Linked DNA regions of Pelodiscus sinensis. The protein of the gene in region 1 purifies or fractionates together with the protein of each later gene. This does not show direct contact. Links are inferred from orthologs where the notes say so. Each region holds a gene or a part of one and is shown in the gene's direction. Other genes may lie near its edges. The genes, in order: PTPN2 and KPNA6.

Evidence for each region.
Region 2: the proteins of PTPN2 (region 1) and KPNA6 purify together in Homo sapiens (affinity purification with mass spectrometry; 3 studies listed by BioGRID and IntAct, with this or other methods). This does not show direct contact. The link is inferred for Pelodiscus sinensis from reciprocal best matches to the Homo sapiens genes PTPN2 and KPNA6.

Annotation. Positions count from the first base shown.
Region 1 is NC_134712.1:87,627,897-87,644,677, reverse strand, and holds the start of PTPN2 (tyrosine-protein phosphatase non-receptor type 2), read left to right. Parts: upstream 1-9,657; 5' UTR 9,658-9,825; coding exon 9,826-9,894; intron 9,895-16,781. UniProt on the Homo sapiens protein: Non-receptor type tyrosine-specific phosphatase that dephosphorylates receptor protein tyrosine kinases including INSR, EGFR, CSF1R, PDGFR.
Region 2 is NC_134735.1:3,502,051-3,517,962, forward strand, and holds the start of KPNA6 (importin subunit alpha-7), read left to right. Parts: upstream 1-8,775; 5' UTR 8,776-8,790; coding exon 8,791-8,854; intron 8,855-10,974; exon of another isoform or gene 10,975-11,111; coding exon of another isoform or gene 11,112-11,115; intron 11,116-13,809; exon of another isoform or gene 13,810-13,824; coding exon of another isoform or gene 13,825-13,837; intron 13,838-15,912. Other genes in the region: protein FAM229A, read left to right, coding at 2,433-2,535. UniProt on the Homo sapiens protein: Functions in nuclear protein import as an adapter protein for nuclear receptor KPNB1. Binds specifically and directly to substrates containing either a simple or bipartite NLS motif.

The DNA of each region.
Region 1 (16,781 bases):
GATCAGGAAAGCACCGTGCAACCTGATCCCCTTCCCCCCTCCAGGTTTCAAGTCCCCTTCCCCCTTCCAGGTTTCAAGTCCCCTTCCCCCCTCCAGGTTTCAAGCACCCCCATCACCCCAGTTAAATGACAAGGAAAGTGTTAAACAAAATGTTTATTGTACATAGTTTGGCATGAAAGTATATTTTCTACATAAAAAATGAACAAAAGCTTTTTTATGTTTGCAACAGCTATACTATTTTCCAGTGAGTGATATTTAAAAAAATAAAACAGAACTTATTCTTTTGAGACAAACCCTGGTGTTTATTATTTCTCCAAACAGGGTCAGGAGATGGGTTGTGGAGGGAAGCTTCTATTGGGCCAGGGCCCAGTACCCAGGCAGAAGCCCCTCAGTAGAGTCAGTGGCCTCCAATTGAGAATTGCTCCCGTAGGGCCTCCTGTATGCAAACAGCAGACCAGTAAGCCTGGCGGATAGCAGCTGTCCGTGGCTGGGCAAAGTGCCTCTCCTGACCATCAGCACCTGTAACCCACCCTGGTAGGAAGGCCTCCCCTTTCCTCTCCACCATTGTTATGGAGAACGCAACACGCGGCCACCACCTCAGGGATGTTGCGCTCCCCCATGTCTAGGCGTGTGAGCAAGCACTGGAATCTCCCTTTTAAACGTCCGAACGCACATTCCACCTGGTTGCGAGCACGGTTAAGGTGAGCATTAAACTGCTCCTTGCTCGCATCCAGGTGGCCGGTGTAGGGCTTCATCAGCCACGGCATCAGGGGGTAGGCGGCATCAGCCACTATGCACACTGGCATGTGCACATCCCCAACCGCAAAGTCGTGATGCGGGAAAAATGTTCCTGCCTGAAGCCTCCGGTAGAGGTACGAGTTCCTGAAGATGCGGGCATCATGTGCCCGCCCTGACCACCCAACACAAAAGTCAGAAAACTGGCCACGATGGTCGACCGGGGCCTGGAGGACCATAGAAAAATAGTCATTTCTGTTAATGAATTGGGCTGCTCGATGGGGCGGTGCACGGATTGGAATGTGTGTCCCATAGAGCGCTCCTCCACAATTCGGGAAGCCAAGGGCAGCAAAGCCAGCCATGACGCTGTCCAGATCTGGTAGACAGACGAGCCTGTTCAGCAGCTCTGAATTGATGGCCCTCACCACCTGCAGAAAGAGACAGACAACAAAATGTTAGAAGGGGTGCCTTATCTCTTAGGAGGAGAACCCACCACCCATCTTCCCTCTCAAACACCCCGGGAATCCCCTCCTCAGAACCCCCCCCCCCCAACAATTCAGGGTGAGTGGAGGAGCTCCCTCCCACTCCCACTCCACTTTGCCCTTCCTGACAGTCTCCCTTCCCCCCACCCCAAACTGTGACTGTCCCCAGACAATGACTTACCTCCATCAGGATGTATCCAACAGTAGACCTGCCCACTCCAAATTGGTGTCCCACGGAGCGGTAGCTGTCGGGGGTGGCCAGCTTCCGGAGGGCAATAGCGACCCTCTTTTCCACGGGGATAGCGGGCCGCAGGTGGGTGTCTTGCCGTTGCAGAGCCGGGGCGAGCCAGGAACACAGCTCCTGGAAAGTGGTCTTTCACATCCGGAAGTTGCGTAGCCACTCTTGGTCATCCCAGAGCTCCATAACGAGCTGGTCCCACCAGTCAGAGCTGGTGTCAAGCCTCCAAAAACACCTGTCCACAAAGAAGTTTGGAGGCAAGGGCAGTGGGGCTGAATGACGGACGATCCCTTCGTACCTCTGGTCTGGGTCCAGATGGGGAAGTAGCCTCATGACTGTGTCATGCAGATACAGCAACACTTGCAGTATGATGGCTTGGGGCCATCGCCTTCCCAGGGGCAGCTCTGGCTCCATGCCAAAAAAACGGGTCTAAAACAGAAAAACCTCCAAACAAAAAACCTGCTGGGGTGTCCCAGGAAGCTGAGCACTCCAAACCAGCACTGCAATGCCTTGCTTACCTCCTAGAGGGACAGCAAAAGCAGCTGCAGAAGCAGAGCAACGGGTGTTCAGGGACGTCCCTTTAACCACGCGTCTCTACAAAGGGCAGGCAGCAGCACCCGGAAGGAAATGCTGCCCCCATGCCCTGGCAGAAGCAGTTCCGGGTGGCTTTTAATTTCGAAAGAGCATCCAGCAGTCAGGATGCTCTTTTTCGAAAAAGCGGATCGATTTTCCGATCCGCATATTGTAGTCTAGACGCGCTTTTTCGAAAGAGTCTTGCAGTCTAGACATAGTCATAGAGTTCAAAATAAAGTCAATGGATTTCAAGAAGGCAGACTTTAGTAAACTCAGGAAGCTGATAGGTAAGGTCCCATGGGAAGCAAGACTAAGAGGAAAAACAATTTAAGACAGCTGGCAATGGACTGTGACAGGCCACACTGAAGCACAGGGAGTTCCCCTGTCCCAGCTGGCTGTGCAGGCCCTATCCCCACGACCCTGCTGGGCTTGCGCAGGAGGGAAGCTGGGGATAAAAGCCCAGGGAGCCATTCAGTTGGGGCTGACCACCAGAGGGGAAGGAGCTCGGTCTGGAGCTCCTGAACAGCTGTCCCAGGAGCAGCACTAGCTAGTGCAGCCGCCCCAGGAGCAGCACCAGCTGCCACAGCGACACTAGTCAGCGAGGCTGTCGGACTGAGACTGACCTACTGGGCAGTTCGCCCAGGATGATGCAGTGCATTGATGGTGGCAGGAAGTAGCCCAGGGTGGAGGAGTGTCCTTTGGGAGCTCGGTGTGTTCTGGCAGGCATCCCCACCGAGCAGGTAGCAGAGCTAGCTGCTGCCAATAGAATCCTGGGCTGGGACCCAATGGAGTGGGAGAGGCTGGGTCCCCCTACCTCCCCACCCCACCATAATCCAGCTCCTTAGATTTTTGGGGAAGCTCACCTCTGAACTAGGCCGGAAGGCTGCCTACACCCTGAGAGAAGGGAGTGTGTTGGTGACTAGGGTGGAAAGGCCATATATATCCCTGTAGGAAGAAAACTATACTTTGGGGATTGGGCCTATAGGGCCTTATATACCACTGTAGAGGGAAATGCCCTTTGAGGTTGTGCCTGGAGAACCGTATATTACCTAATAGAAAGGGCTACTGTTTGGGAAAGAGCCGTAAGACTGCATATACCCTAAAAGAGGGACATTAGTGATAAACTGAGGTTGGTCTTGTGAAAAGGGAGCCCTAACCCAGATGTTGGGGATTTCTAGACCATTGAGGGGTGGGTGACCCCTCGACATGGATGTTATTAAGGGCGCAAGAGTACACTATTCCAATTTGTAGAAAAGATAGGAAGTATGGCAAGAGACCAACCTGGATTAACCAGGAGACCTCAAAGGCTTTAAAAAATAAAAAGTCATATAAAAAGTGGAAACTCTGACAAAGGATGACTATAAACAAAAACACAAGTATGAAGGGGCAAAATTAGTAAGGGGAAGACACAAAATGAGCCCAATCCAGCTAGAGACATAATAGGTAACAAGAAAACATTCTACAAATATATTAGAAGCAAGAGGAAGCTCAAAGACAGGGTAGGCCCATTGCTCCGTGAAGATGGAGAAACAATAACAGAAAACATGGAATGTCCGAGGTGCTTAATAACTTCTTTATTTTGGTTTTCACCAAGAAGGTTGATGCCTAACACAGTGAATGCTAGTGAAAATGGGGTAGGTTCAGAGGTTAAAATAACAAGTTAAAAATTACTTAGAAAAGTTAGATGTCTTCAAGACACCAGGGTCAAATGAAATGCATCTTAGTGCTCAAGGAGTGGATTGAGGAGATATCTTAGCCATTAGCTATTCTCTTTGAAAAGTCATCAAAGATGGGAGAGATTCCACAGGACTGTCTAAGGGAAAATATTGTGCCCCTCTATAAAAATGGAAATAAGGGCAACCCAGGAAACTACAGACCAGGCAGCCTAATTTCTGTGTCAAAAAAGCTAATGGAGCAAATAATTAAGGAATCCATCTGTAAAGATCTGGAAAATAAGGTGGTACATAACAGCTAGCATGGATTTATAAAGAACAAATCATGGCAAACCAAATCTGATAGCTTTCTTTAATAAGATAAGGGGGAAACGGTAGATGTGAAATACCTAGACTTAGTAAAGCATTTGATATACAATAATTCTTCATTTAACATGTGCCCGCTTAATACATTTTTGCAATAGCATGATTTTTTTTTTAGGGAACATTTTTTGAATTACACGACCGTCCCCGGAATAACATGATTTCCCCAGCAGGCCTGTTGCCAGTGGCTGCGCGGGGCTTCCTCTGCCTCCCTGCAAAGCGGTGGAGGGTTTGCCGCTCGTTGCACTGTTCCCCGCTGATTCCCCTTTGCCGGTCACATTGCTCCCTCTCCTCCACTCCCGCTTGTAGGCCAGCAGCTGGGTTTCCTCAGCTGGCCCGTCACTGGTAGCTGCGCAGGGCTTCCCCCGCCTCCCTGCAAAACAGCGGAGGGTTTGCCGCTCACTGCGCCATTCCCCGGTGACCCTCCCTCCTCGCCGGACGCAGTGCGGGTCCCGGCAGATCCGTCACAGGGGCATACTCCCAGCCCAATCCCCCTCTCCTTCCTTTCCCCAGAGCCAAACACCTCCCCTTCCTGCTGTAATCCAGTCCCTTTTCTCCCGCAACCTTATGTCCCAATCCCAACAGACACCACCACTTGAAACACAACCCCCATCTTTTCCATTATTTTCAATGGGAAAATTGACTCCACATAACGTTTTCACTTAACACGATCATTCTCTGAAACGTATCTATAGTGTTAAATGAGGAATTACTGTAGTCTTACATGACCTTCTTATCAATAAATTACAACCTAGATGGGGCTGCTGTAAAGTGGACACATAACTGGTTGGATTTCCCTTCTCACAGTGTAGTTCTCAATGGTACAGTCATGCTGGAAGGGCATAACAATTGGGGTTGTGCAGGGATCAGTTTTGGGGCTGGTTCTGTTCAATATCCTCATCAATAATTTAGACGATGGTATAGAGAGTACGCTTACATAGTTTGCTGAGGATACCAAGCTGGAAGGGGTTGCAAAGGCTTTGTAGGACAGAATTATAATTCAAAATTATCTGGACAAACTGGAGAAATGGTCTGAAGTAAACAGGATGAAATTTAATAAGGACAAATGCAAAGTATTCCACTTAGGAAGGAACAATCAATATTACACACAGAAAATGGGATGTGACCGTCTAGGAAGGAGTTCTGCAGAAAAGGATCTAAGGGATATAGTGGACCACAAACTAAATATGAGTCAACAGTGTGACACTGTTGCAAATAAAAGCAAACCTGATTCTGGGATGCATTAACAGAAGTGTTGTGAGTAAGACACAAGAAGTAATTCTTCTGCTGTATTCTGTGCCATATATAGAATATATACCTACAGTAGTATGTATATAAGGCCTATAGGCTCAAACCTCAAGTACAGTTTTCTTCCTACAGTGGTATATATGGCCTCAATTGGAGTATTGTGTCCAGTTCTGGGCAGCACATTTCAGGAAAGATGTGAATAAATTAGAGAAGGTTCAGAGAAGAGCAGCAAGAACGACTGAAGCAGTAGAGTTGAAAGTCATAACCAGAGCAGTCACTGCGAGGCACTGTCTTCCCGGAGGCCAAGAATATTGACTTTCAAAGTGCTACATTTGTACTACCACAAAGTTGACCAGGCAAGGTTGAATGTAGCAGTTACTCCTCATGAAAGCTGAAGTACAGAAATTTACTTTAACAGCCTTTAAAATCGATGGAACATACTTGGTCGTGTGGACTCATTGTTAGAAAATCGACCTAAATGCAGCTAAATTTTATCTGAACTCTCAGTGTAGACCAGGCCATAGCTATTGCCTGTAATATGTGTTTACAACAGCAGAGGATGCAAGAGAGCAGGAAAAAACTAGAATGATAATGTTTTCATGTGCAGGGAATCCGACGGGGAGGAGTGCTGGAGATTGCTGAGTAGACTGTAAAGATCCGTAAGTCTAGACCAGGGGTGGGCAAACTATGGCTTGCAGGTCATATTTGACCCATCAGACTTTATCTGTTCCTTGACCTCCTCCCTGGAATTGGAGTCAGGAACTTGCCCTGCTTTAGCCTCGTGGCATTTCCCAGCCCTGACTGTTTTTTAATAAGCACCATCTTCAGGCATGCAGAGCCAGACGGCGCGGATGCAACTGCACCACACTGTTTCCTGGATAAGAATGAACCTCGCTCCTACACAATAGCCCCCCTAAGTGGCAACGTGTCTGATCCCCTCCTGGTCTCCTACAGCCATACCCGCAAGAGCATCAAAACTGCCCAGGGGCCACACGGGTGTCAGCTAAGATACCTCTGCCTGTGGCGGTGCCATTTCTGACAAGGCCCCTGTAGAGCTCTCTTCTGTGCCACTCTCCATGAGTCCCCCACCATCCATTTCGATAACATTCCTTACAGTGTCCCTCAGAGGTGAAAGCAAGTGGGTGTGCCCTGGTGCAAAGCTCCAGCAAGAACTGGCTAAGCTGAGGCAACAGCCAGCAGGGAGCTATTTAAAGAGTTGGCAGGGACCCAAGAGGACAGTACCTGTAAGAAATATTAAGTTACTTTCACTGCTGGTGCTCCTTCCTGTGCCACACCCCCATGAGTACTCTGGCCCACGTCACCCTGAAACACAATTTTCATACCCAGATGCAGCCCTCAAGCCAAAATATTTGCCTGTCCTGGCCTAGACTCTAGGGCTGTGTCTAGACTGGCCAGTTTTTCCGGAAAATCAGCCGCTTTTCCAGAAAAACTTGCCAGCTGTCTACACTGGCCACTTGAATTTCCGCAAAAGCACTGACTTCCTACTGTCTGAAATCAGTGCTTCTTGCGGAAATACTATGCTGCTCCTGTTCGGGCAAAAGTCCCTTTTGCACAAAACTTTTGCGCAAAAGGGCCAGTGTAGACAGCTGAGATTTGTTTTCCGCAAAAAAGCCCCGATTGCGAAAATGGCGATCGGGGCTTTTTTGCAGAAAAGTGCGTCTAGATTGGCCACGGACGCTTTTCCGCAAAAGCACTTTTTGTGGAAAAGTGTCCATGCTAATCTAGATGCGCTTTTCCGCAAAAAAGCCCCAATCGCTATTTTCGCAATCGGGGCTTTTTTGCGGAAAACAAATCTCAGCTGTCTACACTGGCCCTTTTGCGCAACAGTTTTGCGCAAAAGGGACATTTGCCCGAACAGGAGCAGCATAGTATTTCCGCAAGAAGCACTGATTTCAGACTGTAGGAAGTCAGTGCTTTTGCGGAAATTCAAGCGGCCAGTGTAGACAGCTGGCAAGTTTTTCTGGAAAAGCGGCTGATTTTCCAGAAAAACTGGCCAGTCTAGACACAGACAAGGGGTATGTCTAGACTATATGCCTCTGCTGACAGAAGCATGTAAATTAGACATACCGACATAGTCAATGAAGCGGGGATTTAAATATCCCCTGCTTCATTAGAATAAAAGTGGCCACCACGTTGTGCCAGCTCAGCTGTTTGTAGGCACAAATTGGCAGTCAAGATGGGGATCGGTTGACAAGGAAAGCCTTTGCTGACTGATCCCTTATGCCTCGTGAAACACCTGGATGGTGTTGCTAGAAGTTGGTTGTGAAACCTTGTTCTGATCTCCAGTCCATGACCCTTTCTTATGCCTCATGATTCCATCCTGGTAACTATCTCTTGTCTCTGATTCCAACCTGACTCTGACCCTGACTTTGCCTATTGCCTGGCTCTAGTCTATAGAGTACTCAGATCTCTGCTGACTACTGACTGCCTTGTGGCCATCCTTGACTTGTGGACCCACCAACCCAGCTATGATACTATGTTATACCATATACATCCCACCGTTATATTCACCGATACAGTCTCCATACGAGTTTACACCTTCTACAGACCAATATGGTGGAAATAAATGTTTATATATGGTAAAATAGACCATGTCAGTGTTTTGTATCCCTGCCCTTTCATCAGCCTTACTCTTCACAAAAATTTGAAGCATGATCTTGATCACCATTGGAAAACAACAACATTAATATAGTGTGTGTGGGGGAGGGGAGGGGGGGTGAGAGAGGCAGAAACAAAGTGTGAGGGCCAGTTAAGATATATCTGCCTAAATTAACCATATCTCCCACAAACAATTTTTTTTTCTTTCTGCTCAACAAAAAACTGGGAATCTACTAACATGCAAATTAGATAAGGCTGAGTAAAGAGTGGCCTCTTCTATTTTGTGCCCTTCCATAATAGCTTACGAAGGTAATGGAACTTCAAATTCTGAAAAGCAGGAAACACAGAGGCTATGTCTACATTGGCATGATCTTGTGAAAATACTCTTTAACGCAAGAGTTCTTGCGTTAAAGTATTTGCACAAGACAACGTCTACACTGGCATGTACCTTTGCGCAAGAGATGTGCTTTTGCACAAAAGCATCCGTGCCAGTGTAGATGCTCTCTTGAGCAAGAAAGCTCCAATGGCCATTTTAGCCATCGAGCTTTCTTGCGCAAGAAATTCATGTTGCCTGTCTACACTGGCCTCTTGCGCAAGAACAGTTGCGCAAGAGGGCTTATTCCTGAGCAGGAGCATCAGAGTTCTTTGCGCAAGAAGCACTGATTTCACACATTAGAACATCAGTGTTCTTACGCAAGAACTCCCCACCAGTGTAGACAGGCAGCATGTTTTTGTGCAAAAGCGGCCGCTTTGGCGCAAGATCATGCCAATGCAGACACAGTCAGAGTGAAGGGATACACTAACATAACCTTAACTCTAGTCTCCTGGAGCTGATCATTGCCACTGGAAATTATCTGCATATGCTCCAGCTATATTATGTGGAACTGGATACTGAATGAAGGGATTAGTTGGAGCAAAATGGTAGAGCTGTGATTACATGAGGAGATCTGGGAGTCCCACCTTTCTTTAAACGTCTGACACCCATTCCCTCTCCCCTCATCAAGTGTGATCTAAGGAAAGATGTGCAAGGGCATTTTGAGATATTGTCCCATTTCAGTGCTGATTTCTGAAGGTGGTACCAGTACCTCAGTACAAGCATTATCTTATCACAGTGCAGAGGTGAGCTATGACAACGACCTGCAGGTGCAGATGGGTAAGTGAAGACAGCACCAGATGGCAGAAAGAAGCCGTAAAGTAACCAGGAGTGGTGCATTTCTGCAGACTAGGCTCAGGGTTTGCATGCAGGGCAGGTGCATGCTGCTCCTGGTCAGAGGAGCTCAAGCCCAACCCAGCCGCAGCAAAGAGTGTCTCAACTTCGAGCACTCCCTCGCTGTGCTCCCCGGGGCACGCGCCCCGTTTGCAAAGGTAGCAGCCGCAGCAGGCACACGTGGGGGCCGGAGCAGGGTGCCCGCAGGGCAGAGTGAAGGAGACGCGCGCGCCGGTCGCTTGGCACGTTGCACACTTCGCCGCCGGGGGTTTGTCAGCCAGTCATACGTCACAAGACTCCGAGCCCGCACGCGAGGCACAGGCGGAACGCAGAGGGGCGAGGCTGACCTCGCGCCACAGCATCCGGGCCGTTATTGCCCACTCACCCCGCCCTCTCCCCACCTGTGCGCTCCCCCGCCGTCCCCCCAGAACGGACCGTTACGTCAGTCCAGGTGCTTTCCCTGGGGCGGAGTTTCGAGCGCCCCAGATAGGCGGAGGCTAGTGGTTGGTTGGGAGTGCGCATGCGCCTGACGGCGGCGGACGAGCGAGCCGCCGACTGTAAGGCAGGAAAGCCGGAGCGCGCGGCGGGCTGGGGCTTGCGCTCGCCGCCGTTCGTGCTCCGGGCGGAGGGAGCGGGAGGTTATGAGCCTGCCGGACTTCAGCGGTCATCCTCGCTCCGGCCGCCGCCATGGCACCCCCTATAGAGCAGGAGTTCCAGGATATCGACACCGTTAACGACTGGCAGGCTCGCTACCTTGTGAGTGAACGCGGGGCTCCCTGGATCGGGAGGGGAGGAGGAGCAGGAGGGGAGGACGGGGCAGTCGGCTCCGGCCGGCACGCGCGGCTCTTGTCCCGTACTGGGAAGCGGAAGTCGTTGGGCCACAGTTTGATTTCAGGTGCGCGCAGCAGCGCTAGCACCCGCTGCCTCCTGGAGCGCTGTCTGCGCATGCACCGAGAAGGGCCGGCAGAAGAAGGGGAGACTTGCCCCTCTAATACGCATGTTCAGTAAAGAAGAGGCACTTGGGACTGGCAGGAGCACGCATGCGTCAAATGCGGGGGGGGTAGGCGCGGAGTATGAGGAGCGTGCTGGTTGTAGTGCGCATGCGCCAGCAGCCCGAGGCGCTTTAACGTGCGCACGCGCGTTTTAGTTAATTTTTCGTCTTTCTCCCTTTTCACTTCCTCGACTGGCCTCCTGGACTCTGCCTAGCGCCGCGCCTACGAGTGGTTGTCACGCTGCTCTGCCGGGCGCCTCGTGCCCTTCGCGCGCGGCTCGCCCCCTACGTCCTGGGTTTCGCTCTGCGGGTCTAGTGAGCAGTAGCTATGAAATGCTCTCGGCGTCGCGGTGGTCTTGGTGGAGACTGGTGCTGCGGCATTCATGTTCCTTGATTGACAGCAGAGGTGGGGAAACCTCTGGCCCCCGTGTGCCTACATCCGGCACCCGAGGCTCAGAGCTCCCCCAGCTTTGGGGAACCCAGCACCGCCCTACCATAGTCTACTGCCCTCTTCCCCGAGCTCTGGTGTGTGCGGGGAATGTGGGAAGTGGCTTTGTCTGTCTTACTTAGGGCACGTCTGCACTGGGGAGTTGTTTCGAAAGGCGAGCATCCACACTACCAAGCCTGTTTAAAAATAACACGCCCATTATTTTCTAATAACTCTAGCTTGTGAAGAAGGTGATAGTGTGGATATAGCCTCTGGGACCACTTAAGTGAGGGGTGGGTTTTTGTTATTGCTTTTCACTTGTGTGTAGCCCCCCAACTGACTTAGAACCTAAAAATGGCTGTACTGGGTCAGACCAAAAGTCCATCCAGCCCAGTATCCTGTCTGCTAACAGTGGCCAGCAACAGGTGCCCCAGAGAGGATGGACTGAAGACAATGATCAAGCGATTTGTCTCCTGCCATCCCTCTCCAGCCTCTGACAAACAGAGGCCAAGGACACCATTTTATCCCCTGGCTAATAGCCTTTTATGGACCTAACCTCCATGAAATTATCTAGCTTATTATTTAACTTCTGTGGATGAGTGGCCCCCAACCCAGAAAAAGTTCCCCATGCCCTGGTTTGCAGCATTGATTGCTTATAAAGGTTTAATGGCATCCTCAGTGGAAGTACTTCACAGGTTATCCTGTTACTAGAATTTGCATAACTGCCTTTAATGCCCTAGGGCAGTGGTTCCCAAACTTTTTTGGCACCATGCCCCCCTTTTTGTTTTTTGAAAAACCCTCAACCCCCCCAAATAGCTGCAAAACTTGAGCGCAAAAAAACCCAAAAACTTGATGGGGGTGGGGGGCTGGGTCGCCTCGCACACACCCCTGGAATTTCTTCAGGCCCCCCAGTTTGGGAACCTGTGCCCTAGGGCATAGTTGCTCTGATCCAGGTGACCCATCTTTGCTAATAATTTGTGCTCATATCCTTTGTTTTATAAAACCTTAATTCAGCTATGCAAACATTGCTAACCTAGTGTGCCCAACAACTCACAGATCTATTGGATGTTAGGCCCCTCTTACAAATCAGAAATATTCAGCATTAAGTGAATGTGACTTGCCTAAGGCTACATACAATTCTCTGGAAAGTTGGGAATAGATAGCAGACCTGTTGCCTTTCTGTTACATTGTGCTGTGCTTTCATTCTGTTGAACTAAAATTTCAACATACTTTACCCTGAAACACTATATTTTAAATATATATGCAGGTTAGGCACAATATCTAACAGTGAAATAATTCCAAGGCTTGAGTTAAACAGAGCAGATGATAAACTAAGCAAAACTTTACAGATGGCAAGTGTACCAGTTCTGTAATCAATATTGTTTACTGTTACTAGCAAAATGTATGCAGAATATTGCATAGTGTATGTCCATAATGTGTAAATTACCTGGCTTAAACCATTTTAATTTTATGAAAATACATCTGTTATAGTAAACTCACATGAAAATGTAAACAAATTCTGTAAGGCTTTTCAGTTACAGATTTTCTGTTTTAAATTTAGCTATATTATGTAACTTTAATGAGAATAGATACCTCCAAATTCTGCCATTCTAGGTTTATGCTGTGGAGTGTTTTCACTTATCTCTTATGAGCAATTTTTCATTTATCTGTGCTTAATATGTTTTAGATGTAATATTTCTGAAGTCTTATTAAATAAAATATAAACCAAGGAGATTATTGCTTCTGTGTCGCAGAAACTATTTATGCAAGTATTTGTATTGGTGTGAGTTCACATGAAATTAGCACATATTTAAGTCCTCAATGATTAAAGTAAAGTATTTTCTTTCTGCCCTCCCACCCCATATTGTTGGGTAGTGGATATTGAGGGCAAGGGAGACTATAATGCTCAGGGAATTCCCAAGGAGAAATTCATGGATGAAAGAAGGTGGGATTTCCTCCCTTGTAGAGTGAGCCCTGCAATTGCATGGGCTTGTTGGTGTTGAGAAATACCATGGATCTCTAGGAATAGTTCAGGAATTTCTATTAGATATATTAAAAAACGGTAATGTAACCATTACAAAAAAAAAGTGGCAGTTACACACTGTGGGCTCTGCAATGTAAAGCTTATTATACGGCAGAGCTTGCATTGGGGCCAGAAGCCAGTGCGTGCCAGGAGCTTGCACCTAGCTGCCGGCCCCACTCCGAGGAGCCAGCTGTGCTGAGGACTCTGCAGTATAAGCTTTATACTGCAGAGCCCACAGCGAGAGGCAACAGCCAGCTTCCCGGGAGCAAGACCGGCACACTGGGAGCCAGCTTACCAGCACCCAGCTTCTGGCCCCGCTCCCAGGGAGCTGGCTGCCACCCTGCGCTGCAGGGTCTGATACAGAGCCTTCAGTGCTGGCTGGCAGCCAGTTCCCTGGGAGCAGGGCTGCGAATCAGTGTGTAACCCGTTATGGGAATGGATAAGATCATGATTATCAGGTAACCATTTAAAGTTTTTTAAACTGTTACTCTTGCATTCCTAATTTTCCTAGAAGATTGTTTTGTGCTGCTACTTGGTCCATGCAGTGATGACTACCTGATTAACATTTGTGGAGTTGCTGGAAGATGATGCCTCTTATTACACCTGCACTGATTGTGCCCTTCACAGTTGTGGAGCCAAGTTCTAAGGAGGGAGCATCTGTGATATTGGTGTGATTTCGTTGAGCTCAACTCACCTCCAACAGTTTTTGGGTCCTTGTAATTGTGTTCTGTTAGTTTAACCTCTGTGGTATGTCAGAGAGGTTAGTATATAAACATACATACTGAGAGAAGGGATTAAAGTAATACATTTGTATTTTATTACTTGATAAATAAAAGGTTTCCTCTGGATATTTTTGTTTTAACTTTGGTATTTCTAGTAGATTGAGCTGTTCCAAAATTATCATTAAGTTGTGTGTGCAATTTTAAATGCACACATCTTTAAGATACTTTTTTAAAAAAAAGTGATGTATAGTTTCCCATAATATCACTAATGCATAAATGCTAAATTTGTTTATATGTATTGATACTTCAATAAAAGTGAAGATCCTATTCACATGTAATAGGATCCAGATTCATTTTAGGTTGCAGTTCCACAGAAATCATTTCTGATTATGCCTGTTTTCAGAAGGAGCAGGGGAGAAGGGCTCATTTGAAATGAGGATGTGCAGAAGGTAGATAGAGTGAAGGAAGCCCATGAGGCGATTACAATAGTCAAGGCAAAGAATAGTCAGGACCATGGCAATTGCTTTGCTGGAGGGAAAATACAGGAAGAATGTATTTTGAGTTATGTAGGACCTTGTCAGAAGTAGCAGCAGCACTGGTATGGAGAAAAGATGGACAAGATGCTACTTCAAAATTTAAAAACAATTACAGGCAGTCCCCGAGTTACACGGATCCGACTTATTCCGCAGTTACGAATGGGGCTTTTCTTGCCCCGGAGGATGGGAGCGGCGGGACACCCCAGCAGACCAGGCTTTTCTCGCCGACGACGCCTGGGGTAGAGCAGCTGAGGAGCGGCGCTGCGGGGACCTACCCGGCAGCGCCCCAGCTGCTCTTTCCCAAGTGTCCAAATTCAGCTGCTGTTGAAACTGATCAGCGGCTGATTCCAAGAAGCCCAGGGCAGAGCAACTCTGCCTCAGGCTTCCTGTAGTCAGCCGCTGGTCAGTTTCAGCAGCGGCTGAATCTGGACACCAGTTCCGACTTACATACAAATTCAACTTAAGAACAAACCTACAGTCCCTATCTTGTACGTAACCCGGGGACTGCCTGTATTTATCTCAGACAATTTCTGCGAATGGTACTCTAGCCATCTTTTCACCTGGGGAAGAGAACAAATACAGCCTCTAATACATCTTGGCCACAGGGAGAGAATGCTTGTTTCAGAGGGTGGAGGGACATATAAGCAGAGGAGGCAGACATTTTAGACCTGATTCTGATCAACAGAGGGATTGCTTGTGAATCTGAAGCTAGAAGGCAATTTGGGTGATAAAACTGGTAATTCCTAAGCAGAGGGAGGAAGGAGTAGTAGAACAAGGACAACAGATTTCATAAAAGCAGACTTCAACAAAACAGAACTGGTAGATACAATTTTCGGTAAGAACACCTAAAGGAAAACGTGTCAGGAGAGCTGGCATTTAGAGATTAAAGTGGGGGAACTGTTTTTGGGTCAGGAGTCACTGACCCACAGAAAAATCAGTTGGGGAGCCACACTAGGGGCAGGGTTAATTCTTCTGGGGGCTGGGTTTCCCTCTAGGACTGGGTTGGTAAATTTGTCAACCCTCCCCCATTTGGCTCCAGGAATGGGGCCAAAAACGATGGGGTCAGTGTACAGGAGGGGGCTGACAGGAAGTGGAGTGGAGAGGGAGTACTGGGTCTGGGCCAGAGGTAGGGGGCAGGAGTGAACAGAGGTTGGGTGTCTGAGAAGGAGATTGGGGACAGGAGATTGGGGTGCTTACCTGGTGCAGCCCCTCTTTGGTTGTAGACACTGTCCCCTGCTGCTCCCATTGGCCACCATTCCTGGCTAGTGGAAGTGATGGGAATGTAGCCTGCAAGCAAGTGCAGGAAGAGAAATTCCCTATGCTGCTGTTCCCCTCAGCTCGGGGGAAAAGGGGCAACAGGAGCAGGCAGAACCACTTCCTCTCCCCCCCCCCCCCCCCCCACCAGCCAGAGCCAGCCACACAGGAGCTTCAGCACTTACTCTCTGCTGTTTTCCCCCGCAGTAGGGAGCCAGCACTTGGAGACTCAGTGTGGGGCTGGAGCATTAGCACCAACTTGCCCTGCTGCAAGGAAAAGCCCTGACCCTCACCACAGGCCAGATCAAAGCAAGCCAGGGGATGGATCTGGTCCATAGTTTTCCAATCCCTGTATTAAAGGTGTAATAGTAGACTACCCAGGAGAGAAGGAAAGATTGGAAAAATATTAAGAGGCTAATGTGGCTCCATTAAGAGCTCTTAAGTTCTCTAAAAATCAAAGGGAATCCTACAAAAAGTTACTCCTTGGAGAATTGTATGCCAAAAAGATGAAAAAAAAATCTACACACAATTTTAAAATTCTGCATTTCTTATCGATAAACTAGGCAAATACAACTTAGATGGGGCTACTATAAGGTGGGTGCATAACTGGCTGGGTAACTGTTCTCAGAGAGTAGTCCAGGGTTGGAGCGCACTCAGAAAAAAGCTGGGGGGTCCATGCTCAGTAACTCCTCCCCTGCCCTACCAGAGTTTCTGGAGCAATGCAAACAGCTCATTTGCAGTGTTCAGGCTCTGGAGGGGAGAGTGGGGACTGATTGGGGTGCTTGGAGGAAAGAGGCAGGGTGGCTGAAGAGCACAGCCCCATAACTGCATCCAAGGGCCCTCATCCTAGCTCTGTCAATACTAGCCCCTCAGTTGACCATCACTGGCCAGATACATTGCCAGGTTCGGGACTAGTCAGGTGGCCCCAAGAGTGCTGAACCAGAGGGGTTCAACCCATATTAAATAGTTAAGTTAAATGCTAGGCAGAAACGAAGTCCTGGAGCAAAAGTCAACCTTGAAGAACTATATTAAAATTATTTTTAAATACATTTTTTTTTTTTTTTGCTTTGCAGAATTTTATTCAGAATGACTGGAGTTTATTCTCTCTAGATATGTGCTCATTTTTTCCCAAGGGATGGCAGAATGTCATCTGCATTTACACGTTCCGCTTAAATGGATTCCCTGCCATACTGTTCGTGGGCAGATTCTGCTTTCCAAGGGTCCTACTTGCTCAGTTCTGGCTACAGCCTTTTGGGCAACCTGTCCCCTGGCTCAGGGACTGCTTTGGCTGGTGTGAGGCCCAGGGCGCAGCCCACTTGTACCAGGAACGGAGGCAGGCTCCCATGCCCTGGGATGCTATGACTTGCTCTAAGGCCGCTTGCTTGCACCACTGTTCTTGGTGCTCATGGGCTGCTGGGCCAGTAGGCTCAGGAGAAGTGCGAGGCACCCCACGTCCCCAGCCACTGGCCACCCCATCCACTGCTGCGCCCTGTGTGACTATGTCCCGAGCCCAGCACTGAGCCATCCTGGTGAGACCCAAGCCCAGCCTGGCTCCCTCCCATCCAGCCATGAGTGGGGCTTGCAGCAGTGAGCGGTGCTTCTACAAGGTGGGCAAGGAGGTGTCCAGCAGCATTGACCTGAGTGACCTGGGCCCCCTTTGCCTGGTGCTGCAGTCCCGCCCTACTTCCTT
Region 2 (15,912 bases), on another chromosome or scaffold:
AGCTGTCCCGGACATCCCCAGCAGGCAGGGCAGCTGCATGGCCTGGCTTGGAACTCGGCGCCTGGCGGGCAGAAGAGTTTGTTGCCATCTGATTGGGCCCCAGGGCTGAGCTGGGGCAGGGCCGGATTAAGAAAGGGGCTTTAGGGGCAGCTCAGAGACCCATGCTGGGGGGACATGGGCTGCAGCCACGAAGGTCCATGTGTTCCAGGTGAGGTGGGGGGAGGAGGCTTGGGGTGCTGCATTGTTCCTCCTCCAACACCCAGCGGGAAGCAGGTTGCTGCGAGCCCCAGGAATCTGTCCCCGCACTGCCCTGGCCAAGAGATTCCTCCCCCACTGCTCCCTATGGCCGGAAATTGCAGCCAATGGGAGCAGCAAGCGGGGGGAGGAGGGGCCTGCAGGCAAGTGCAGGCCACATGGAGTCCGCTGTTCCCCCCCCCCCCCCCATACACACCAAATGGGAGCTGTCCCTGGTAAGTCTCCTGCTTCAGCCCTGAGCTCCTCCCCAATCCTGCTCCCTCTGAGACCCCCACACTGCACCCCAGCTCCTGCACAGCTCCCACACCACCCGACTCCGGAGCCTTGGGGGCCCCCAAGATCTAACAGCCCCAGGCCCCCAGAAGAGTTCATCCGGCCCTGACCTGGGCACCGGTGGGCTAGTTCTTGTGCAATGGGCTGAGGTAGGGCTCTAAGTAAAGTCCAGATGAGGCACCGGGTTTGTTGTGTCCCCTCCACCAGGGAGTGAAGGCTGGGGGCAGACTCAGAGCGCCGAGGCCAGGCCGGCTCTCTGTTAACGCCCCAGCAGACTCCCTGGGCTGCAGCAGCCGTATCCTCTCGCTCTCCTGGGGGCTCAAGCCTGCGACCGTGGGTCTTCCTGGTGCAATTTCTCTCACGGCCTCACCCCTCGTTCTCGCTGCTCAGACAAGGGCCATGTAACCCCCTCCCCGCCCCCCGCTGCAACTCTGCCGACTCTGGAGGAGTCAGAGCTCCAGTCCATTGCCCTGTAGGCTGCAGCAGGCAGAGATGCAAGGGGGAGCAGGCTCAAGCGGGGGACAAATTGGCGGGGCCTGCTGGCTTAGTGAAGGGGACCTGCACAGACCCCTGTGGGCCAGAGACACGGGTTAGGTCATAGAAACAGCTGGGTGCAAACCAGATGGTTCTTGCTTGGCGGCAGCACCACAGAGGAAAACATTAAGCTGGGGTCAAATAAGACATTTTGTTTGTCTGTTGAGCCTTTTTGATCTTTTTAAATGAAATTACAGGAAATTTTGGAAGGAAAAAGGTTTCCAACGGAAAGGCTTAAACATTTCATTAAGAAAATGTCAAAACAAAACATCTGGGTTAGGGTTGCAAATGGTTAACCAGTTAATCAGTATCACCCTGCTGATGTTTACCAGTTATGGTTAACCGGTGGGGGCTGGAGCATCCCTCTACCCGTGGTAGTCCCAGCCTGACCTACCACAGACAGGCTGGAGCAACCCACCCGCCCCCCCGCCTCTGTTTAATTGGTTAACCAGTTAACTAACTAAATGGATTTTTACATCCCTGGTCTGGGTTTGTCTGCATGTTTTTTTCTTCCCACCGAAGCCATGTGGCAAAATGGACAGGAATTCACAACACGGTTCGGTGTCCCAGGAGCAGATTGTATCACCAAAAAATTGCAGGTGAACGTTTTTGCCTGGCTCTGTCTAACCGAATGGTCCCGTCTTCTCTATTGGCCGCTGGCCTGGTGTGCAATCGCTGGACAACAACCAATCCTGTAACAGGTCTAGGGTAACCGGCCGTTCGACTGTAGCCTTAACCCATCTGTGGCTGGGCCGTGCCCTTTGCCTCTTACTAGTTTATAGGGATGAGTCGGGGGCTCCAGTGGAGCATTTCTGGGCAGTGAGCAGCAGGCAGAGCCGAGGGGCCCCCAGTGCTTCTATTACTGTCCGGAAGAGGCTCTGCCCTGCCCTGAAGGCCTCCTCCGTTAAACTACCAGCCCTCAAGGGTTCGCCGCCACCCCGTGGCCGTTATCTCTGCAGGCACATGGTCTCTCTGCAGGCTTTGTCCCAGCAAGTGTTGATTTCACCATACAGGACCCTTGGAAAGAAGAGCCTTTGGGAGTTTTTGTCCTTTTCCCACCCAGAGATTCCTAGGGCAGAAAATTCTCATTTCCTGCTTGGGGCTGCTAAAAGCGGACAGGGAAGCTGGACTTAAAAAATGTTGTCCCCTCCCAAATCTTCCCTCCCTGCTAAAGCCAGAGGAAAAGAGCCCTGACGTGTTCAACCAGCCACATGGGTTCTGAGCCCTGGGGCTTTTGGGATCTGCACCCCTCCCGATAGGTAAATACGTCACCATTCCGCCATGCACCTGGGATGCTGAAGGGCTCGATGTATGTGGCTTTGCACAACCCTTGTAGGAAGCCGAGCTAAACCCTCTCTCTTGTTCCGCAGGCAGCTGAGAAGATGCCCCGGGTGCCACTGCCTGACTTTGCCCAACGTTCCCATTGACGTGTACATTGCCATGGGCGGGAACGGTAGGCCACGGACCACCTAACGGTTCCCCCACGTTAGGCCCGCGCGCTGAGGCCACTGGGGTGGTCACCTGCAACACCCTGACAGCCGGAGAACAGCAAAGGACACCGCCACACCAAACAGTGACGCACATTTTAATAAAAGGACATCTTAGAATTTTCTGTGGGCGTCGTTCCTTGGCTGCTGCTTGGCTCACGGCACTGCCCCGGGCAGTGGAGTGGGGGTGGAATGACCCCCCCCCAAGCAGGAATTTACCCCTGTTGCTATGTGATCCTGTGGGCCCAGCGCGTGGGGAGGGGTCACAGCAAAACAAGCCATTCAGGAAGGGTTTGCGGGAGGAAGGTGAACCAGTAACGTAAAGGGTGATGCTTATGGGGTAAGAATTAACCGGGTCCCAGGAACAGCCCACCTACCACCGGGCTGACATAGCCCCTGCCTGTGGGGGGTGGGAGTGGTGCAGCCCAGCTTTGGCAGCTGACTCATATTTCGCTTTTGGGGCTCCCCGCCCCATTCCTTTCTGCAGGACTCCTTCCTAGACAGTCACTTCCCATTCTGGATTGTTCCTGTGTGAGCGGAGCACTTTGCATTTGGCCTTATTGAATTTCATCCTACTGGCCATTTCTCCTGTTTGTCCAGATCATTCTGAAGGGAGGTTGAAGTTGGACGTTAGGAAAAACTTCCTACCTGTCCGGGTGGTGAAACACTGGACTAAGTTGCCCAGGGGGGTTGTGGAATCTCCATCCCTGGAGAGATTTAAGAGCAGGTTGGACAGACACTTATCAGAGATGATCTCTAGACCAATGGTTCCCAACCTGGGGTCCACGGACCCCTGGGGGTCTGCGAGGGTATTGCAGGGGGTCCATGGAAAAATTAAAGGTAAATAAAAATAGAAAATATTTTTTAAATAAATTGAAAAGTTACAATGTTGTTTTTAAATTAAATATTTTCCAATAATGTTATGAATTGTGGTCCAAAAATCTATGTTGTGGCGCCTTTGTGTGACGAAACGATCATGACGGTTAGAAGCGTACACACGTTAGCCATACGTTCAACATGGATCTGTGGCGAAATCCGGCTCGCTGAAGAGAAAGGAGACTGAGCAGAGTGAGGCATCCACAAGTGGAACAGCTAATCAAACAGTAAAAGTGAGAAAATACCCCACTACTAGAATTGAGGCTAGAATTGGCTTTGATGGGGGTCTGCAAACAGTTTGGGGGGAGTGATTGGGGGTCTGCAAACAGTTTGGGGGGAGTGATTGGGGGTCCGCACTAGTGAAAAGGTTGGGAACCACTGATCTAGTTCTATGATCCTATGAATTATGACCCTGTCCTCCAAAGTACTTGCAACCCCTCCCAGCTTGGTATCCTCTGCACACTTTATAAACATACTGTCTATGCCAATATCTACATTGTTGATGAAGATGTTAAACAGAACCAGTCCCAGAAACGATCCCTGCAGAACCCACTCATTACGCCCTTTCTTGTATTTCCTTAGTTTCTTAATGAGGTCATGTGAGACTGTATCAAATACCTTAAGTCTAGCTACACCTCCTCTACTGCTGCTAAAAGCAGACAGAAGCTGGACATAAAAAATGTTGGTCCCTCCCAAATCTTCCCTCCTTGCTAAAGCCAGAGGAAAAGAGCCCTGACGTATACTTAGCTACACCTCATCTACTGCTTTCTCCTTGTTAGCCTGTCAAAGTATCAGGTGGTTTGACATAATTTGTTCTTTACAAATCCTATAAGCGTGGCTTGTGTTTTATTTTGTAGAAACAACCAATTGTGCACAAAGAGCAGAGAAAATTCAGCTGTTTCTGCCCAGTGACTTGCAGGCTTCCTGCAGACTGGAAAAAGGATCCCCTGCGATCGGCACTATCCTCAGCCCCCGCTAGGGATGTGAATGTGTATCCATGTACAGCAGGCATGTCAAACAAGCCTCCGGAGGGCCTCATGCGGCCCAATCAATATTTTTTGCGGCCCGCCACTACATTTTTATAAAAGAATAAAGTGCGTCCTGCTGGCCACTCGGAGCACGTGGCCAAGCGCAGATCACAGCCGGCTGACCGGCCACTCTACGCTCAGTGCTGCAACTACTGCTCTCGGCCGGCCAGGCCGCTCGGAGCTGGGTGCTCCAGCACGTGTTCACGACTGGCCAGCTGCTCTGCACAGGCATCAAGTGCCTGCTCACGCCACCCCAGCACCTGAGGAAGGAAAGTGTGGCGTCGCCAGCGACTCTGAGACCCAGACATTAGGTTGGGGGGGCTGGGAATGCCTGGCTCTGGGGGAGGTGGGAGGCATTAGGTAGGGGGGGCCTGGTTTTGGGGGAGCAGAGAGGGATTGAGTTAGAATGGGGGAATGGGAGTGCCTGGCTCTGGGGGAAAGGAGGGGAATATTTTGTTAATGTTTTGTTTTGTATTTATTTATTCCCAAATAAAATCATAAAATGTATATCAATAAATGTCAATTTTTTGCAGTTGCACGAATAATATATATTTATCCAAAATGTCAAACTTACAAAGTATCTGAAATTTTCACAGAAGCCTGTTCTATTTGATTAAGCTCGGTCTATACTTGTTTTTATTTCCACAAAACAAGTTATGTATCATACAAAATTAAAAAGTACCTTCAATTTATATTTAAATTAAAAAAATATTTTATATGGGCAAATAACAATTTGACACATCAAGTGATTGTATTATATTAAAACAAGACCTGAAAAAGTATAAAATATGCCTAAACCATGATAATAAATCATTATGACTTTCCAATAGAAGCACATTTTCTTTGGTGGCCCTGAAAGCGATCAGTTTCCGTTTGTGCGACCCTCAGTAGGCTTCGAGTTTGACATGCCTGGTGTAAAGGGTAAACTGATGAGCCTCCACACAGCTGCCTCTCTACTGATCCGCCTGCTCCCCCTTCAGCTGCTGCCTTTAATACAGAGGCAGCAGCCCATGGTGGGAGCTGGAATGCACAGGGAGCTGGCTTTCATACTGGCTCCCTGCATGTACTGGCTACCGCCAAGCTTAATATCCTCCCCCCTTCGTATCAGAGGCAACAGCATGGGGGGAGGGGCAGGAGGGAGCTGGTACATGTGGGGCGCTGTCTTTAAGCCAGCTTCCAGCATGTGCTGGCTCCTATGAAGCCACATGCCCTTCCCCCCACTGCTGCCTCCCACAGAGGCAGCGGGGCTGGGGGGCAGGTGGGAGCTGGTGCCTGCCCCCTGCGCTGATGCCTCCGATACAGAGGCAGCATTGGGGGGGCAGGTGATTTTAAAGCCAGCTCCCCATGAGCACTGGCTCCTGCCTCCCCCCCCCCACATTTTATCATCCCTAGCCCTCACCTGTCCCAGTCAACTGGGCCACTCTTGGGTGACCCCTTGTCTCCGTTCTCACTTGCCTTCCCAGGCTGTGTGCCACTGAGCCAGGAAGTGGCTACCTCAGCTCTTGAAGCATTTGTAGTGGGTGACTGAACTTGCTAGATGTCGTTTTCACCGAGATGCAGCAGGTCTCTGGATTTCCCCTGGCCCTACCTGCCTGGCACGAACTGGCCGTCTGGGAGCCCCACAATAAAACTTTGCTTTTAAGCCCTGTGTGTTCATCTAGTCAGCGGCGAGAGTCCAGTGTTCTGTGCCCTGTGACAGCTGCCCCGCGACGCTTTGCAACCAAGGAATTCTTTCCTGCCAACTGCGAAATCTCTACGGTTGTCCTTCACTCCCTTGAACAAGCTGGCTTGGAAAATGGTTGAAGCAAACGCTGGACCTGGGACGGGTCTTTGCTTTAACTCAGGGCTAGCCCGGGGTCGGGATTTTAATGTTTAATCTGCAATATCGGAGGGGTTCTGCTTCTCTTCTGCCCCAGATGGAGCCTTACAGCTGTGCAAGATGGATGCAACCAGCATTCTGATTTGGAAGCAGTTAACTGCTTTGCATAAGGGTCAGTGACACACGCCGGGTGAGAGGACGGGGCGGGGGGAGGGATCAGGGACAACCCGCTGTTCTTGACCTAAGAAGCCTCCAATGAAGATGACAAACAGCAGTGACACACGTCGATGGTACCTATGTAACTACAGGTTGAACCTCTCTACTCCAGCACCCTTGGGGCCAAACCAGAGAATTTGCCCAACCACAAGAGGCCAATATTATCTAGCACAGGGGTGGGCAATCATTTTGCAGTGGGGCCACTTTATTAATTTTGGTAAATGGTCACAGGGCGGCTCCACCCTGGAGTGGGTGGGGCTTGGAGTCGAAGGGGTGGGGCTGGGCACTAGCCTCCCCCCCCCCCCCCCGAGTTGTCTGGGGCTGGAGGCTTTGAAAAAACCACAGCAAAGGGCTCAGGGCCCCATCACTACTGCGTTGCCTGGCAGCTGCCCAGGGTGGCTGGGACTACAGTAATTCCTCATTTAACACTAGAGAGATGTTTCAGAGAATGATTGTGTTAAGTGAAAACGTGTTATGCAGGGTCAATTTCCCCATTGAAAAGGTGGGGGTTGCATTTCAAGCGGTGGTGTCTGTTGGGACCGGGACATAAGGTCGGGGGAGAAAGGGGACGGGGTTACAGCAGAGAGGGGAGGTGTTTGGCTCTGCGGACGGGAAGGGGAGGAGAAGGGAGGGGGACTGGGTTGGGAGCATGCCCCTGTGACTGGTCTGCCGGGACCCGCTCTGTGTCCGGCGAGGGGGGGTCACTGGGGAACGGCGTGGCGAGCGGCGAACCCTCCGCCACTTTGCAGGGAGGCGGGGGAAGCCCCACGTAGCCGCTGGTGATGGGCAGGCTGGGGAAACCCAGCCGCCGGCCTGCAAGTGGGGCCAGAGGAGAGGGGGCAAGGCGTCCGGTGAGGGGGAGGCAGTGAGGAACGGCGCGGTGAGCGGCAAACCCTCCGCTGCTTTGCAGGGAGGCGGGGGAAGCCCCATGCAGCCACTGGCGACGGGCCAGCTGGGGAAATCGTGTTATTCCGGGGACGGTTGTGTCATTCAAAAAACGTTCCCTAAAAAAAAAAAAATCGTGCTATCGCGAAAACGTGTTAAGTGGGCACGTGTTAAATGAGGAATGACTGTATTTAAAAGGCTCAAGGCTGTGACCTCTGCTGGGATAGTGCTGCGACTGGGAGCTATGAGCCATTTAAATGCATCCTTGCTGCCTGAGCCACCGCCTGGAAATTTGGTGGTACGGGCGGCAGGATATAAATAGAAAGCAGCCAGATGCAGTGCGCGGGCTGGATCAAAGTGTTTGCGGGCCGCCTATTGCCCAGCACTGGTCTAGCAGCATTACCACCACTTCCACTGCTGTGAAGACATGTAGAGGTAAATTAGAGCTACATCACAGCACAGAGCAGAGCCAGGGCTGGTGGCTGTAAACAAACTTTATGTGACCATGGAAAACTTGGCCACACCCATGTTAAGTGGCCATCCGGCTAACTAAAATCATGCTGGGCCATGGATGTTGCCAGACCAGAAAGTGCCGGACTGGAGAGGTTCAACGTATACCAAACCATTCTTCTCAAGGAACAATAATAGTTTCTCAGGATTTTTGGCTGAGGTTTTTGCTGCCCTTCCTCTAATTCCTTCATGCCAATCCTGCCCTTTGTCCATTGATCGGCAAGGTATTTAACTGGGAATCTCTCAGGGTATGTCTACACTACCCCGCTAGTTTGAACTTGCAAATGAACTAGCTGTACTCCTCATTCCACGAGGAGTACAGCTAGTTCGGATTAGGAAGCCTAATCCGAACTAGCTACTCCGTGCCGCGTGTAGCCGCGCGGCACGGGGTTCGAACTAGCCGGGATTTAAAAATGGCGGCGCCCGGTTTATGCAAATGAAGCCCAGGAAATTCAAATCCCGGGCTTCATTTGCAAGTGCGGTATGCCTACATTACCCTCCTAGTTCGAATCACGAACTAAAGCAGGAGGTGGGTAAAAGAACAGAGACCAGCCCCCAGCCCGTCCACGTGTGTTTTAAATAATAAACTACTGAGGGTTGATCAGCTGGAGCTTTATCTGCGGGAACTGTCGACTTGTGCTCCCGTCTCCAGCAGTGTAGTGGTGAAAATTGCTGGAGCATGTGAGGCAAACGCCAAGCGGTTAGAAGACAGGATGTGGAGCTGACCCGTTCTGTGTCAGGGACCATAAAATTTTCCTTTGGCACAGCCATTCTGCCATTGATGTCTGGCTGGTGGAACTCTATACACTGTCATCACGGCGTGCTCCTCTCCAAGCAAAGCGAAAACTGGAGTGACTAGATGGCTTTTTCTTCCCTGTCCTGTGGCGCCGGAGGCAGAATCACCTCGATGCTGATTTCTTCTCCCAAGGGTGGGGAAAGGGAAGTGCCCCCAGCCACGCTACAAGTGGGTGGTATGTGACTTATCTTTGGCGGGGCTGTGACAAAATGAAAGCCCTTCGTTGGGAGTGGCCGAGCAGCCAGGGCTGGAGACATGGGCTGATAGGCAGGAGAAGGTGCTGGCAGCAGCTGTGCCTCATCAACAGCAGGGCCGACTTATCCATTAGGCACAGTGCCTAGGGCTCAGGATACTTTTAGGGGCTCACGAAAATGTTTTAATTTCTTTTAAAATCAGAAGAAAAAAAATGAAACTTTTAGGGCCCACGAAAATCTATTACATTTTGCCTAAAACAGAAAAAAAATAAAACGTTGAAGTATTTAAAGTTGTATCAAAAATAATTTTTAATATTTTTTTTTTTTATGGAGGAAGAGGCCCACAAAGGCAAAAGTGCCTCGGGCCCTCGAAAGTCATAATTCAGCCCTAATCAACAGGAGGGAAAATAAATTCAAGGCTCCCCATGGGACAGAGTGTGTGGGAAGGAGGAGGAGAGTTCCTCCCGAGCAAATGGGGACAACAGCTGGGTGGTCTCCTTTGTCGCTTCCCCCACACGCCTCTCCCTTTGAAGATGAGAGGAACACAACTGGGAAGGTGCTGCCTCCTCTAACTAGGGTGAACATTCCTAGGAAGAATTTTATTCTAGACAGGTTCTGCCCCACTGTCAGCCACGTCCTCTTCTCTTGATTAACAACGGGAGAACAAACACCAACGGGCGCCATTTCCCAGGGTTTGGCTGTTCCCGGGGCTCTTTCTACAGGATGCCCTCGAGCTCCCTGAGAAATCACTCCCACTGCCCTTAGTGAATCAACAGGACCCAGTTAATCCTTTCCCAGCAGGATGGATGCTGCTAGTGTAACCGCCGCCGGGCGGGTTTGAATCGGGGGCTGACTAGAGGAGCCTCCACCCTCTGAGCTAAAAGCCAGCTGGCTCCCAGCCCATGCTGTAGAGGTCTCTTGATCTTAACTGTTGCTGTGGTCTAGGTACCACTTGCATTGCGCAGTAACCACACTAGGTGTGTGGGTTACATTAGCATACCACGCAGCTGGTTTTTTGGGGGGGTGGGGGAATCACATTCTATGTGCTCTCCAGCATGAAATCATGCTCCTACCTAAGGATGTTAAATTACGGTTAACTGACTAGTCGATAGGCACTTTCGCATTCCTCCTGAAATGGACAAGAGCCCCAGTGGGGGCTCTTGTGCACTTCAAAGACACAGCGCCCTCATGGAACCTGGGGTCATCGGGGGACTTAGAGTCCCCCGCTGATCCCGGGCTCCACCACTCTGCCCCTTTGAATGAACTCACAGGGTGGGTGGCATGGGTGGGGCGGGCGGGAGCAGGCGCAGAGAAGGGGTGGGTGGCGTGGGCAGGGCGGGCGGGAGCAGAGGGTGGGTGGCATGGCCAGGGCGGGTGGGGGCAGGGCAGAACAGGGGGTGGGTGGCGTGGGCAGGTTGGGTGGGAGCGAGAGCAGGGCAGGGCAGGGGGTGGGTGGCGTGGCCAGGGCGGGTGGGAGCAGGGCAGGGCAGGGGGTGGGTGGCGTGGGCAGGGCGGGCGGCAGCAGGGCAGGGCAGGGGGTGGGTGGCGTGGGCAGGGCAGGTGGGAGCGGGAGCAGGGCAGGGCAGGGCAGGGCAGGGGGTGGGTGGCGTGGGCAAGGCGGGTGGGAGCGGGAGCAGGGCAGGGGGTGGGTGGCGTGGGCAGGTTGGGTGGGAGCGGGAGCAGGGCAGGGCAGGGCAGGGGGTGGGTGGCGTGGGCAGGTTGGGTGGGAGCGGGAGCAGGGCAGGGCAGGGGGTGGGTGGTGTGGGCAGGGCGGGTGGGAGCGGGAGCAGGGCAGGGCAGGGCAGGGGGTGGGTGGCGTGGGCAAGGCGGGTGGGAGCGGGAGCAGGGCAGGGGGTGGGTGGCGTGGGCAGGGCGGGTGGGGGCAGGGCAGGGCAGGGGGGAAGCAGGTGGCAGGTGGGCGGGAGCAGGGGGACCAGGCTGGCTCCCAGGGCGTGGCCCAGCCCTGCCACCTCCAGCCCACGGGCGCTATCAGGCCTCGGCCTTGGGCCCCAGCACCAGCCGCCGTGGCCCCGCCCCGTACAGCTCAGCAGAGGGAGGGAGGAAGCGCCTCTCCCCCCTCCCCCCGCGCTGTCTCTGCCCCTTTAAAGGGCGGCGCGCGCGGCGGGGAGGTTTGTCCCTTCCCGGCCGCCGTTCCCTTCTCTCGCTCCCGGCCCTCCCCCGCCCCCGTCCGCCATATTGTGGCCGCCGCAGCTCGAGCCGGAGCCTGAGGAGCCGGAGATGGGTGAGCGGGGCGGGTGGGGAGGCCGCGGCGGTTCCTCTGCGCCCTGCCAGCGGGAGACTCCGGCCCGGCGGGTCCGGCCGCCCCTTGCCCTGCGGCCCGGGCCCTGAGCCCGCGCCCGTCACCCGGGTCTCGGAGCGCCGGGGTGGGGCTACGCGCCCCTGCTCCCGCCGGCCCCCGGGGTGCCTGGCTCGAGGGGGCGGGTCTGCCCTGTGGGGGGGCTGGTTCCCCCTCCCCCTCCTCGGGCAGTGGCCGGCGGGGGGCGCCGCTGCGTCCAGCTGCCCTGCGCGGGGTGGGGGGAGGCGGCTGGCGGGGCCCCCGCTCCCCTCTGCCTGGGGACACTTCTGCTTATTCATGCCGAGCGCTGCCTGCCCCCCCCCGGTACCTGCCGGCCCCCCCGCCCCGTCCCTGGGTGGAACCCCCCCCCCCCCAGCTGGTGGGCTGTAGCGAGAGCCCTTGGAACAGCCCTCACACGGGACCTCTGTGCGAGGTGCCCCCCCCCCAGCCTTGTGCCTCGCAGCTGCGGGGGGCCCCAGGGCCCGAGGCAAACACTGCCCCCGCCTTTCACTTCTTGAGTTTGCGGTGGGTCTCTTGGCTGGTGTCTTCCACCCCAGAAGTGGCGGCGGGACTGCCCCTTTCATCTTGAAAGGAAGGGGCTGGATCGTGGCTTTAAATGTGGCTCGGCCAAGAGTATTTGGTTCGGCTTCTTTATCAGCAATACTTGGTAGATAGGAGGAGAAAAAGATGGACCACAGTTGTACTTTTCATGGATTTTGGGGGGATAGGAATGTTAGGCTGGTATGCCAACTGTAACTTGCACAAGGTGGGGAGGAATCGTGTGTGTGTGTGTGTGTGTTTTTAACCAACTCTTTGGAGCCGGGTATTGTCTACTGGGACCTTTGCCACCCCTAAACAACACTCAGTGTATGTATGAAGATTAAAACAATAAGATTCTTGCTGTCTGCTACTTTCTGCAAAATGATGCTAACCCCAGTCCCTTCCTCTCATTGAACAGAGGAGCTTCCATACTTCCTGAAGGTCGGTGGACCAATTCTCCCTAATCCATGGCATGCCAACTCTGTGTGGTTTTTACCAAAGTCCAGTTCTGAGGCAAAACTTTCACTGTGTATGTGGGCTCAACCTAGGACTGTTTCCTAGCGACTTAGTAGGGAAGAGAGCCTGAGGTCAGCCAGGAATGAGGCTTAAAAATGCTGCTCTGTTCTGCAGCTGTATTTTATCTTGAGGAGCAGACTTCTGCTCATCTTCACCAATGTGGGGTTTTGTTGATGCCCTATTCTTGGCTTCCAACAACTGTTTTAGTGTAAGTGTTTGTGGCTTTGTAGCGTTGCTCTCTGAGCAGCACAAAGAGGAATTACTTTTCTGGAAACTGAACTATATAGCTTACCTCTCCTGTCTGTAGTACTATTGCGTTATGGTTCTTGGGTTGGGGCAGGGGAAGCCCTGGTCTACTGGATGTCAAGAAAACCATTCCAAAACCTTCTAGCCGCACAAGGTTCAAATCCAGCTGTTGCTAGCTAGTCTTCATCCATCCTGTGAATATGGCCTAGTATCAAGTCCCTCCTTAATGAACATGACGGGATCTTGAATTACTTTAAATTTTAATCTTCACAGAAGCTGATTAGATTAGTAGAGGATTGTACAGAATGGAATTCCACTGATTTTTGGTGATGGAGATGCCACATGAGCTGGTGACTGGAGAAAACTGAACTGTCTCCGTGGGCCTGTCTCAACAGCCCCCTCTGCTGTGTTAGAGCATTAAAGTTTTGCAGGATAGTGCCACAGTTATGTTGCCCATATCTAGGTCTTCCATGGGTAATCGGGACCAAACTGTTATAACATCGCTATTAAAATGGCTATAAAGACTGTTTTAAACACTAGCGATTTTAACGTGTAGTGGACTATGTGATTGTTAATCTTGTTGACTATATGCATCCCATCCCTCCCTTGCTGCTTCTGATACAGAGGCAGCAAGGATATGGGGGAGGCAGGAGCTGGTGCCCGTGATGTGCTGACTTTTAAGCCAGCTCCCACAAGCACTGGATCCTGTGGAATTGCTCGGCCATGCTACTGTCTCTTGGAGGCAGGAGCTGATATGCATGGGGAGCTGGCTCTCTGTACATTCTGGCTCTGTGGAGCTGCCTTCCCCCTACCTCTCCTTTGCTGGCTTACATAGAGGTAGTAGGAGTTGGGAGGGGGCAGATGGGAGCCAGTGCTCAGCTTTGACTCTGCGTTCTAAGCCTACACCAAGGTGGCCAGCCCACAGCTTGCGAGCTGCATGCGGCTCTTCATCCCTGAAAGTATGGCTCGTGAAGCCACCCACGTACCCCTACAGTTGGCCCCTGGTCCCCTGTACTCACCGAGTGTAGGGGAGCTGTCCGGTGTAGCAAGATGGTGGTGGCCAATGGGAGCCTGACGTGGCCAAAAAGCCTGCCTGTGGTTTTTAAAGGGGCGGTGTCTTTTCTCAACTCTGGCTGTTGGGGAGCTTTTTTTGGTTGGCTCAACAATTTTGGTGCGGCTCTTTGCATTTTTTTTTCTGTCGCTGTTTCGGCTCTTCATTTAATGGGTTGGCCACCCCAGTCCTACACGAATAGACTGTTAAGGGAGCATGGTATGCTGGGACTGGACAGTGGGGGATGGATCACTTGAACGGAAAAGGGCAATTATCATTCACTCTGAAGCCTCTGGCACTGGATGCTGTTGGAAGGTAGGATATGGGGTTGGATGGTCCGCTGGTCTGACCCAGTAAGACTGTGTTCAAAAGTCAGAAAATGCCATTAAGGTAGGATGGTGTTAACTCTTCCTCTTCAAGCATTGTACCGATAGTCCATGTATGTTTGTCAAATATAGTATTACTGTACTATTGTAATGTGTGCAATGTAGAGACGAGCTCAGCAGATGGCTCTTTGCTGTGCTTGTTGGGCATATAAATGTTATTGGACTGTTTATTTAGCATACCAAGTTTAACTAGATGGGTGGTTGCTTGATTGTATGCATTTTTCTGGAGCATTGAACATGTGTTTAGTAATGTCATAATTGATTGTGTTTTAAAATAGTGCAATAAAAGTAGGGAAACTAATATCCCCATTTAAAAACCCTTTAGTTTTTAATTGTAAGTACATTTCTATACAAGGAAGCTTGGTGTGAACCTAAAATCTCTTATCAGGAGAGAGAAAAGCTGACTCCTCAAGAGCACATGTTAGCAAATATGAGTATCCCAGGACTTTATCTACCTCATTGCCTTGAAACTTATCTTGCAAGAAGGCAATCTGGAATAATGCAGTTGTCATGAGCATTTAAAACAGTGTCTGTTTGATTAAGTCAAATGCTTAATCCCCTTGTTTAAGCACTTACTATAGAAACCTAGCTGACCTTACCTGTGGCAGTATTACACATGGTAGATTTTCAACTCTATTAGGGATGTGACAGTGTAAACAATTAATTGATGAGTCTTCACTGTTACTTGCAGACCTCTTCTCTCCCCTCAGAGATGGGGGGGGCGGGAGAGAGACTCTCAGCAGGAGCCTGTATGTGCAGGGAGCTGGCTCCCCTCACATGTAATCACTGAAATCTACACTTTTTACCTGAATATGTGCATTTTAACATCCCTTCCTGTGCTGGGGAGCTGCTCATAACATACAAGGAGAACTACATTGTAGGTGCAAAGGGTTCTGAAAACATCTGACTTCTGGTTGGGGGTGGCTTGCAAGCAGAACTGAAGCTGGAAAGGTGTTTTTTGGCAGTCAGCTGAGGAATAGATGGCTACCTTTACATGAAGGTATGGGGAGAATAAAAAATCTTAATAGGATTGAATTTAGTGAAAAATGCCTGCTAACTTCCCAGAAGAGAACTCTTTTCTTTTCTCTCTCGCTAAGCCAGCTCCATGAGTAGACTGACTGCATGTTCCAGTAATGATGTCACATCACTAGCTTCAGATAGCTAAAACAGAAGGGAATGAGCCAATGGTGACTAGTGTACCAGACAGCCAAAAGAATTGCGTGGATAAGCGTTTTACTAGCACAGAACGTACTGTGTGCAAAGCACACAGCTATGGGATCAAAAGCAGGCTATGCTAAGAAGTTTTCAGTATTCACTCTATATATTTTTTTTTGTTAAACATTCACGAACATGTTTGTTTCAGTTAATACCTACATTGAGAAAATGTGAAGGCTACACAGTCAAACACTTAAAACAGAAGATACCTAAGTTAAAAGAACATTCTTAAGTCATACTCTTGATGGAGTGTTTTCCCTATTGGTGTTTGTAAGTACTACTTAAAAATAGCATAACTAAAATCAGAACTTTTTTGTTTAGGTAATCTGTGCTTCTGAGTAGTTTCTAGTATAGTCAATATCAGTGGGTTTTTTCTTGCATAGTTAGTTGACTTTCCCTGCTGTTTCATGTCTTCCACAATGAGACAAGGTCAACTTGAGAAAAGGTCACAGTAAAATTGAGGATGATATTGGGGGACTGAAAGGCAGGGTCAGTACTAGAAACCACTTTTAACTAGTTATCGTTGATTTCATGTCACTGCTATCCTTTTAAGGTGTTTATGCAACACTAACTCTACCCCTTTGTGGGTGCATTATGACAACTAAAATACAACTTGTTTTTTTTCCTGAAGTTGTAAACATCCTGCAAACTCCCTTGGTTTAGTTAGGAACTCTTCAAGAAGGGAGTTCCTAAGATAAATGTTGACAAGTCCTTATCTGTAGCTGCTGCTGGTAAACCTGTTTGTGGAGGAATCTCTTTGCCAGCTGCTAATGTAAGAGACTGCTCTAT